Linked DNA regions of Kluyveromyces lactis. The protein of the gene in region 1 purifies or fractionates together with the protein of each later gene. This does not show direct contact. Links are inferred from orthologs where the notes say so. Each region holds a gene or a part of one and is shown in the gene's direction. Other genes may lie near its edges.

Region 1 (4,618 bases):
TAAATTTGCACAACGTATCCGAATTATTGAATGGAACCACTGAGAGCCGCTCAAGTTGCGGGAAGTGTATATCTGCCTCGGTACATTTCGATAAATCAAGATTTATCGCTAACGAGGTAAGTTCTTTTTTATTGGGTAAATATTGTAATGTGTCCAAGGGCAATTTCCGTGACCCGCTTTCCCAATACAAACATGATAGTCTCGTCAACGAATTGATGGATCTATGAACGAAATTCACAATTTCCATATTCGAGACCCCATCGGGCAAAGAATATATTTTGAGACTTTTTACCAATATCCCTAAGGGGAACGCAGTTTGTATTTCATCCTGTGATAACGATTTCATAAACTTCTTTAAATTGTACTTCGTCTTGATATAAGTACATCGTTGATTCTTGTCCGTTCTCAACGAATCGTTCAATATAGAGTATGACGTATCTACCACGATATTTTCGTACAAAGAAAACATCGCCGCGTCATAAAAAGATTTCGATACCGATGCTAAATTCACCAAGTCATATTGGCTCAAATTATTGGTAATTTTAACCTTAATTTCAATGGGTAAATTCAATATCTTTTCACTAAGAATAAATTCATCATTCTTTGTGGTATTATTAACAGCAGAGGTGTAATTATCATCTGCAACATTGCTGTCGTCGTGTTTTGCAATCACATGCTTCGGAAGCGGCACACCTGCATGGCCGACTGGTGCAGAAAGATTGAAATAACGTGCCATAATATCACGTCTGCTCAAGTGCGCATAGGAAACACGATCGTTACCAGTACTTTCGAACATCATCTTGAAAGGTTGAACCGTTTTAACTGTCACAAGCTAGTTTCAATCTTATATATGTCCAGCATATACTTGATTGACGTTTAGAACTGAAAAATCCTGCGTCTACACGGAACTCTAAGCGAAACACACAACAACACTAAAAACATACAATGATGCTAACGAACAACAAACTATATTGATGACTACACCTTATTTTCGAACGGCTAGGTGCAATAACGACTAGGAATAAATTCTCAGTAGTTGACATTTTTCACCTATTTTAACCTAATTCGTATTATGGGTGTTGAAAAATACACCGGGAAAGTGAATAACTAAGTGACCCAGACGTGCCACAGACGTGCCACATCTACTATATTCATTGTCCCAGGATTAACAAGGGCCAGTACCTAAAAGCATGAAAAACAGCAACGTATATACTGTTCAACTACACATATAAGCTTTTTAGCATGTGTATGGGCTTCATGAAACAAAATCCACGTGACCTCAAATTACTTTACGTATCAATTCCCTTTTCTGATCTCTAATTGTTTTGTAAACAAAAAAAAAACATAAACATCAAGAACAACTGGAATCAATAACAAACACTAGCGGTCTCAATTGCATGAATAAATTCAATTGAAGAGCATTGATATTGACTTCTGGTTCCAATAACGTAGCCTCATTGACCAAATTACAGGTAAACTCAATTTGGGTACGAGGCTGTTAGGAAAACATGAGTCAACAGAGGGAAAAAGTATGGGTATCTGATGAACGAGAGGTTTTTGTTCAAGGTCAATTGGTAGAGCGGAAAGTGGTTAAGAATAAGCAAGGCCAGGAACAAGCGGTTGCTGTGGTTAGTGTGAATGGTAAGGAAACAGAGTTTTCCGAAGACGATGTAGCCTCGGTGAATCCTTCTACCTTTGATAAAGTGGACGACTTGTCTGAATTGACGCATCTTAATGAAGCTTCTGTTCTTTTCAATTTACAGAACAGGTACCAAGATGATTTGATTTACACTTATTCAGGATTATTTTTAGTGGCCATTAACCCATACAGTAATATCAAGATATATAGTAACAGCTATATCAAATTATACCATGGATCTCCGAAGGAGGATAATAAACCGCATATCTTCGCTGTCGCTGAACAGGCTTACCAGAATCTTTTGCATCAAAAGCAGGATCAATCGATCTTGGTTACCGGTGAGTCAGGTGCTGGTAAAACAGAGAATACAAAAAAAATCTTACAATATTTGGCATCCATTACGACGGATGATAAGATTTTATTAAATCAGACGAACGAATCGTTTGAAAGGAAAATCTTACAATCAAACCCAATTTTAGAATCCTTCGGTAACGCCCAAACGGTGCGCAATAACAATTCCTCACGTTTTGGTAAATTCATTAAGATCGATTTCGACGAATATGGTAAGATCAATGGAGCACATATCGAATGGTATCTATTGGAGAAATCAAGAGTTATACAAGCTCATGCCAGGGAAAGAAACTACCATATTTTTTATCAAATATTATCTGGCATGTCGAAGCAAGAGTTACGGGCTATTGGATTAGAATCGAATTCCATCGTTGATTACCAGTATCTACGACATTCCAACCCATCAATTCCAGGTATTGACGATGGTCAAAATTATCAGGAACTTGTATCCGCGTTTGAAACTGTTGGATTTACGAAGGATGACATTCAATCCATTCTCAAATGTATTTCTATCATATTGCACATCGGTAACGTTGAGTTTGTATCAGAGAGGTCAGAACAAGCCAGCATTAAAAATGATATCAAACCCTTGTGTAAACTTCTAGGAGTTCAGGAAGACGATTTCAAGTCAGCTGTTCTAAAACCTAAATCAAAGGCTGGTAAAGAATGGGTATCACAAGCCAAAAATGCCTCACAGGCAAGGTCAATTCTTAACTCTTTATCCCGATCATTATATGAGAAGCTTTTCGAATATATTGTAAATCAAATTAACAAGAGTTTAGAGCATGGATCGATGACTGAATATTTTATTGGATTATTGGATATCGCTGGGTTCGAAATTTTCAAAGATAATTCTTTCGAACAACTATGTATCAATTACACAAATGAGAAATTACAACAGTTTTTCAATCATCATATGTTTGTATTGGAACAAAATGAATATCAAAAGGAAGACATCCAATGGAATTTCATCGATTATGGCAAAGACTTACAAACCACAATTGATTTAATTGAACAGAAAAACAGCAGCATTCCAGGTATACTACCGATTTTAGAAGAAGAATCGATCTTACCAAAATCTTCAGATGCCTCTTTTTATTCGAAATTACTTTCATCTTGGGATAATAAATCCACTAAATTCAAAAGGTCTAAGCTGGATAACTGCTTTATACTAAAGCATTATGCAGGTGATGTTGAATACAACGTTACTGATTGGCTATCAAAGAATAAAGATCCTTTAAATGAAAATTTATTGCAGGTACTCAATGATTGTGCGAACCCTCTGGTATCACAATTTTTCGCAGATCGCATTAGAGGCAGTTCTTTTAGGACATCATCTAACAAACATAGGGAACAGCTCCATACACTCATTGAACAGCTTGGCAATACGGATCCCCATTTCGTTCGTTGTATAATTCCAAACAACAAGAAAAAGGCAGGTGATTTTGATAAGAAGCTTATTCTAGATCAATTACGGTGTAACGGTGTTCTTGAAGGAATAAGAATTGCTAGGGATGGTTATCCCAACAGAATATTCTTCAAGGAATTTTTCCAAAGATACAAAATTCTTTCAGATGAGTGTAGATTCACTAACAACTCCAAAAAGAACTGTGAAATACTGTTATCATCACTTCACCTGGATCCAACAATTTACAAGGTCGGGAACACAAAGCTGTTTTTCAAAGCTGGTGTATTAGCAAACCTTGAACTGCTGAAAGAACAGCGTTTGAGTGCAGCTGTTACTAGGTTAAATGCTATAATATCTGCTAATTCAGTCAGGAAAGAAATCAGAAGTCATCTTAAGAAATTACAGGCTGCAAGGATCTTAAAGGTAACTTTTGAAACCTATGACAGGCTCATGGAAAATCCATGGTACAATTTATACATGAAATTGCTACCGCTTTTAGACTCTTCGAATACCATCTTGAAAACTAAAAAAATAGCTGAACAAGTCAAACAACTCGAAAACAAGCTAGCAGAGAGCGAAAAAAGTACGACGGTTATGGTAGATGCAAAGAGGCTGGTGGAACAAGAGTTAGAAAAAGTTAAAGCATTATTGTTAAAAGAAACTAGTGAACTACAACAGTCGCAAGAACTTCTTGAGGCTACCAAGACAAAGCAAATTCAAATTCAACAAAAATGGGATGAAACTCTGTCAATTAAAGACTCTTTGGAAACTGAAAACCTCGAATTATCTAAAGAAGCTGATAATTTACGCCTTGAATTAGAAAAGACGAAAAATGCTTCCGATTTATCAGAAGATAAGTTTAGAGAGTTGTCCCATGATAAAGAAAAGCTGGAGATTACAGTCAATGAACTTAAGAATAAGTTGGATGTTGTAAAGAATGACGAGCGTGCTTTAGACTCCGAAAAAGATAAATTAATTAGGGAAATTAGTGATTTGAAGAAAGAGATTCAAGAGAAGACGATGTCTTTGAAGGACATGGAAGCCAAGGTTAACGATTCCGAAATAGCCATTGATGTAAAGTTAAAGTCTTTGGAAAAGCATCTTGCTGCTACAAGTAACAGAATGAAGGGATTTTTTGAAGAGAATACTCAACTTGCTGCTCAGGTCAAGTCTTTAAAAAATGATATTGCTACAAAAAACAGCCTATTTGAGAATAAATC
Region 2 (4,142 bases), on another chromosome or scaffold:
AAAGGGCCAATCATTGACTGGATCCAATGGTGGTTGTTGCTAAATTGGATAGCATCATCGCTATGTTACTATACACTAAGTGTCTGAAAAATCAGGAACTGAATTTAAGAACTGTCTGATAATTACCATATTTCGAAGAATTAATATCCCGTATACATCACAAACAACATTAAGCACCATTTGCCCCACATAGCTTTAACGAAAGAGCCGGTGGTTGTCTATTTAGAGCCTATTATAGTTAGACTTAATTTCAATTACAATCATTATTCCTTTCTTTCTTACTTTCTCTATATATAAGAGAATGTATTCGTAGATATATGATGGATATAGTATATACAACCCCTTCTCTAACATTAATCTATCGGTATCTTACCTGAGATTTATCACCACGTTTTTCCCTCTTCAATTGTCTCTTTGATTTGGAAGGTTCAGCGGGCGTTGTCTCTGCGAGATCCGCCTTTGAAGCTGAGGCACCGGGGAAATACTGTTGCTTCAAGTAGTACAACTTGTAGAAAATAAACGCAGGGCACACTAATACCAAGAACCACCATTTCATCGTGTTGAAGAAAACTGTTCCCAGGTTACAGAACAAGGAAACATACACGATATCTTTCATGTATTCAGTGAGTCCACCAGATTCCAAATCGAACCCTTCATTAACTAGTTTATATTTTCCATGCGCAGCGTTACTGACTTCATATTTTGGTCTACCGGTACGTTCGAGAATATATAAACATAACAACATCGGCACATTGAAAAGAATAGGTTTTAGGGTTGAAATCAGCCCATTACTGAACCATTTCCTCAATAACGTTAAAGATAGTATAGCGACGACTAGTACGTGCAACTGCTTTAAGATGGCTGCGTTCTTTGCAGCAATCTTCTTGGACGATTTTCCAGCCATTCTACAATGGGTGGGTGAGATTCTTCAGAGATAGAGATAGATGTACATAAATGTACTGTCGAATATTAACCTGATCTATTAATACCTTCCCGTTGCTTCAATGATAGTTGATGATGATCCACGTAACATATATTCACGTATAGATTTCAACTGCCGAGTCATTATAATCCGGGTAACGTACATATATGTCACGTGATTTTGAATATACACATTAATATACGGAGGATTAAGACGATATGCGGTCATAATGAATTGTAAAATAAACCAGATGTACTAACATCCAGAGATCGATAACTGCCTCATGAATACAATATACTACGATATAACTATTCTACCGACAGCCTACCAACGTTATATCAAACTTCCAGCCTTCACAAAGCCTTCAATTGCAAGTCCGCCCCTCCAGCTGTACAGTGAATCCCACGTAACCACTAGAAAACCATTACCGCAACTGCTCCGCCTCGTGGACAATGACAATCGTCTCCTATTTTTCATCAGAATTCTTTTTTTTTTTTTAATTTGTTTTTTCGAAATTTTCTCTTCTGTTTCTCTGGACAGCTAGTGCGATTTATTGTATGAGAGAGTTTGAAATTTGATTTAATTTACAAGAAAAATAAGAAATATCTTGATTTGTTTCCTCCTTCTTTACTGTCTTTTACGATCCAAAGAGAAGAAAGGTTGTTTCAGAATAACGGTTTTTTTGTTGATTGCAAAAGGAATTGTACAACATCTTCACGCGCTATAGTATAACAATATGGATTCTGGTATGTGTGGAAACGTATATTTGATTACGGTGGGTTAATTGGGTGGTTAAAAAGTTTGGATATGTTTTATTACTTTGTTAGGTTTCCGGTTAAATGTTGGGAGGGAAAAGATAGGATAATGGCAGCGCTTTGCGCTGCCATTGTCCATTCTCTAACTCCCTAAATCAGATTTAGAATTAGATGTACAACGCTAATTGAATGGGTTTTTTTTATATATAGGGGTTTGGATTAGAAGCTTTGTTCGAGAATTGGATCTTTCATTTCCTGGTTCTACCTTCTTACTATAACGTGTTTTTCTTGGGTTTTGGGTGACTAACTTTGGATTTTGGGTTTTTTTTACCTGATTTAGGAGGCGAATTGGAAAGAAATTTGGAAAATATAGGCAAAAAAAGATAATTTGATGTCACGTGATGATGTGATTTTATATTACAATGTTATTCCTTCCAGTCCAAGAAGGAATCAAAGTACACCTTTAAGTGGTGCAGGCATTGCCCCTCGTGGTTCGGTTGTCCCTATTTTTTTTTTGATTTATTTTTCTGGTTGCTAAGGTTAGCCCCTATTTTGTCCGCGACAGGACTTTTAGCGTTGAACAATCACATAACCTCATGATCACCCAAAATGCACCTGTTACTTTTGTTTTCTTATCTTATGTTACTAACAATTATTTTTCTATTTGGGATGGCTGAATTCACTTTTTTGGAACACCTAACCTACCCAAACGTACGGTTTAGTTCCTTAATCTGCATTCTGCTACTCGTGATGGTTTTTTATTCTAAACAGAGGTCGCTGCTTTAGTTATTGACAACGGTTCTGGTATGTGTAAAGCCGGTTTCGCCGGTGACGACGCTCCAAGAGCCGTCTTCCCATCCATCGTCGGTAGACCAAGACACCAAGGTATCATGGTCGGTATGGGTCAAAAAGACTCTTACGTTGGTGACGAAGCTCAATCCAAGAGAGGTATCTTGACTCTACGTTACCCAATTGAACACGGTATCGTTACCAACTGGGATGATATGGAAAAGATCTGGCATCACACCTTCTACAACGAATTGAGAGTTGCTCCAGAAGAACACCCAGTTTTGTTAACCGAAGCTCCAATGAACCCAAAGAACAACAGAGAAAAGATGACTCAAATCTTGTTCGAAACTTTCAACGTTCCAGCCTTCTACGTCTCTATCCAAGCTGTTTTGTCCTTGTACTCTTCTGGTAGAACCACTGGTATTGTGTTGGATTCTGGTGACGGTGTTACCCACGTTGTTCCAATCTACGCCGGTTTCTCCTTGCCTCACGCTATCTTGAGAATCGACTTGGCTGGTAGAGATATCACCGACTACTTGATGAAGATCTTGGCTGAACGTGGTTACTCTTTCTCTACTACCGCTGAAAGAGAAATCGTCCGTGACATCAAGGAAAAGCTATGTTACGTCGCTTTGGACTTCGAACAAGAAATGCAAACTGCTTCTCAATCATCCGCTGTTGAAAAGTCTTACGAATTACCAGATGGCCAAGTTATCACTATCGGTAACGAAAGATTCAGAGCTCCAGAAGCTTTGTTCCATCCATCTGTTCTAAGTTTGGAAGCTGCTGGTATCGACCAAACTACTTACAACTCCATCATGAAGTGTGATGTTGATGTCAGAAAGGAATTGTACGGTAACATCGTCATGTCCGGTGGTACCACCATGTTCCCAGGTATTGCTGAAAGAATGCAAAAGGAAATTACCGCCTTGGCTCCTTCTTCTATGAAGGTCAAGATCATCGCTCCTCCAGAAAGAAAGTACTCTGTCTGGATCGGTGGTTCTATTTTGGCCTCTTTGACCACTTTCCAACAAATGTGGATCTCAAAGCAAGAATACGACGAATCTGGTCCATCCATCGTTCACTTGAAGTGTTTCTAATCTCCTTCACTTTTTTTTACTTGACACTCTTATAAAAAGAATACAATTAAAATAAACGATGAATCGATTCATATAGATGAACCCAAAAATTGAAGCTTATGAAACAAAAAACTAACAATTATTAAAACTTCATATAGGGACGATTTTACTCCAAATCTTCTTTGTTTTTATAATTTTGTTTTGTGTGTTGTTTTTATTTATCTTCGATCGCACAGTCATTATTCAAGTTCCAATCTTCTATCTTATGTTGTTGGAATATTCTACTTCATATAAATGAAGTGGGTAGTTTAGTATGAAAGTTAATAAGTTAATAAGCCGAGATTATATACGAACGAAATTCAAATTCAACATTAAAATTAAACAACTCCAATTGAAAGTTATATACGGCAATTATTGAATATTCGTGCGAGGCTAATTGCTTAAGTTGATCATCTGATAATTTGAAAAGGATTTAAAATCATCATATGTTCCAGAACAAAGATTTTTAGTGTTGAAAGTTATTCTTAGTTTATGAAATAGTAAATTATTTAATATGTACAATAGATAAACAAGACTAAACTAATAATTCAACGTTCC

Evidence for each region.
Region 2: the proteins of MYO1 (region 1) and ACT1 purify together in Saccharomyces cerevisiae (affinity purification with mass spectrometry; 3 studies listed by BioGRID, with this or other methods). This does not show direct contact. The link is inferred for Kluyveromyces lactis from reciprocal best matches to the Saccharomyces cerevisiae genes MYO1 and ACT1.

What each region holds. Positions count from the first base shown.
Region 1 is NC_006041.1:1,021,409-1,026,026, reverse strand, and holds the start of MYO1 (myosin 1), read left to right. Parts: upstream 1-1,508; coding exon 1,509-4,618. Other genes in the region: KLLA0_E11617g (F-box protein), read right to left, coding at 1-799. UniProt on the Saccharomyces cerevisiae protein: Required for cell division.
Region 2 is NC_006040.1:460,068-464,209, forward strand, and holds ACT1 (actin), read left to right. Parts: upstream 1-1,658; coding exon 1,659-1,668; intron 1,669-2,448; coding exon 2,449-3,566; downstream 3,567-4,142. Other genes in the region: Rab family GTPase YPT1, read left to right, coding at 1-43; SND2 (Snd2p), read right to left, coding at 359-904; KLLA0_D05379g (uncharacterized protein), read right to left, coding at 4,133-4,142. UniProt on the Saccharomyces cerevisiae protein: Actins are highly conserved proteins that are involved in various types of cell motility and are ubiquitously expressed in all eukaryotic cells.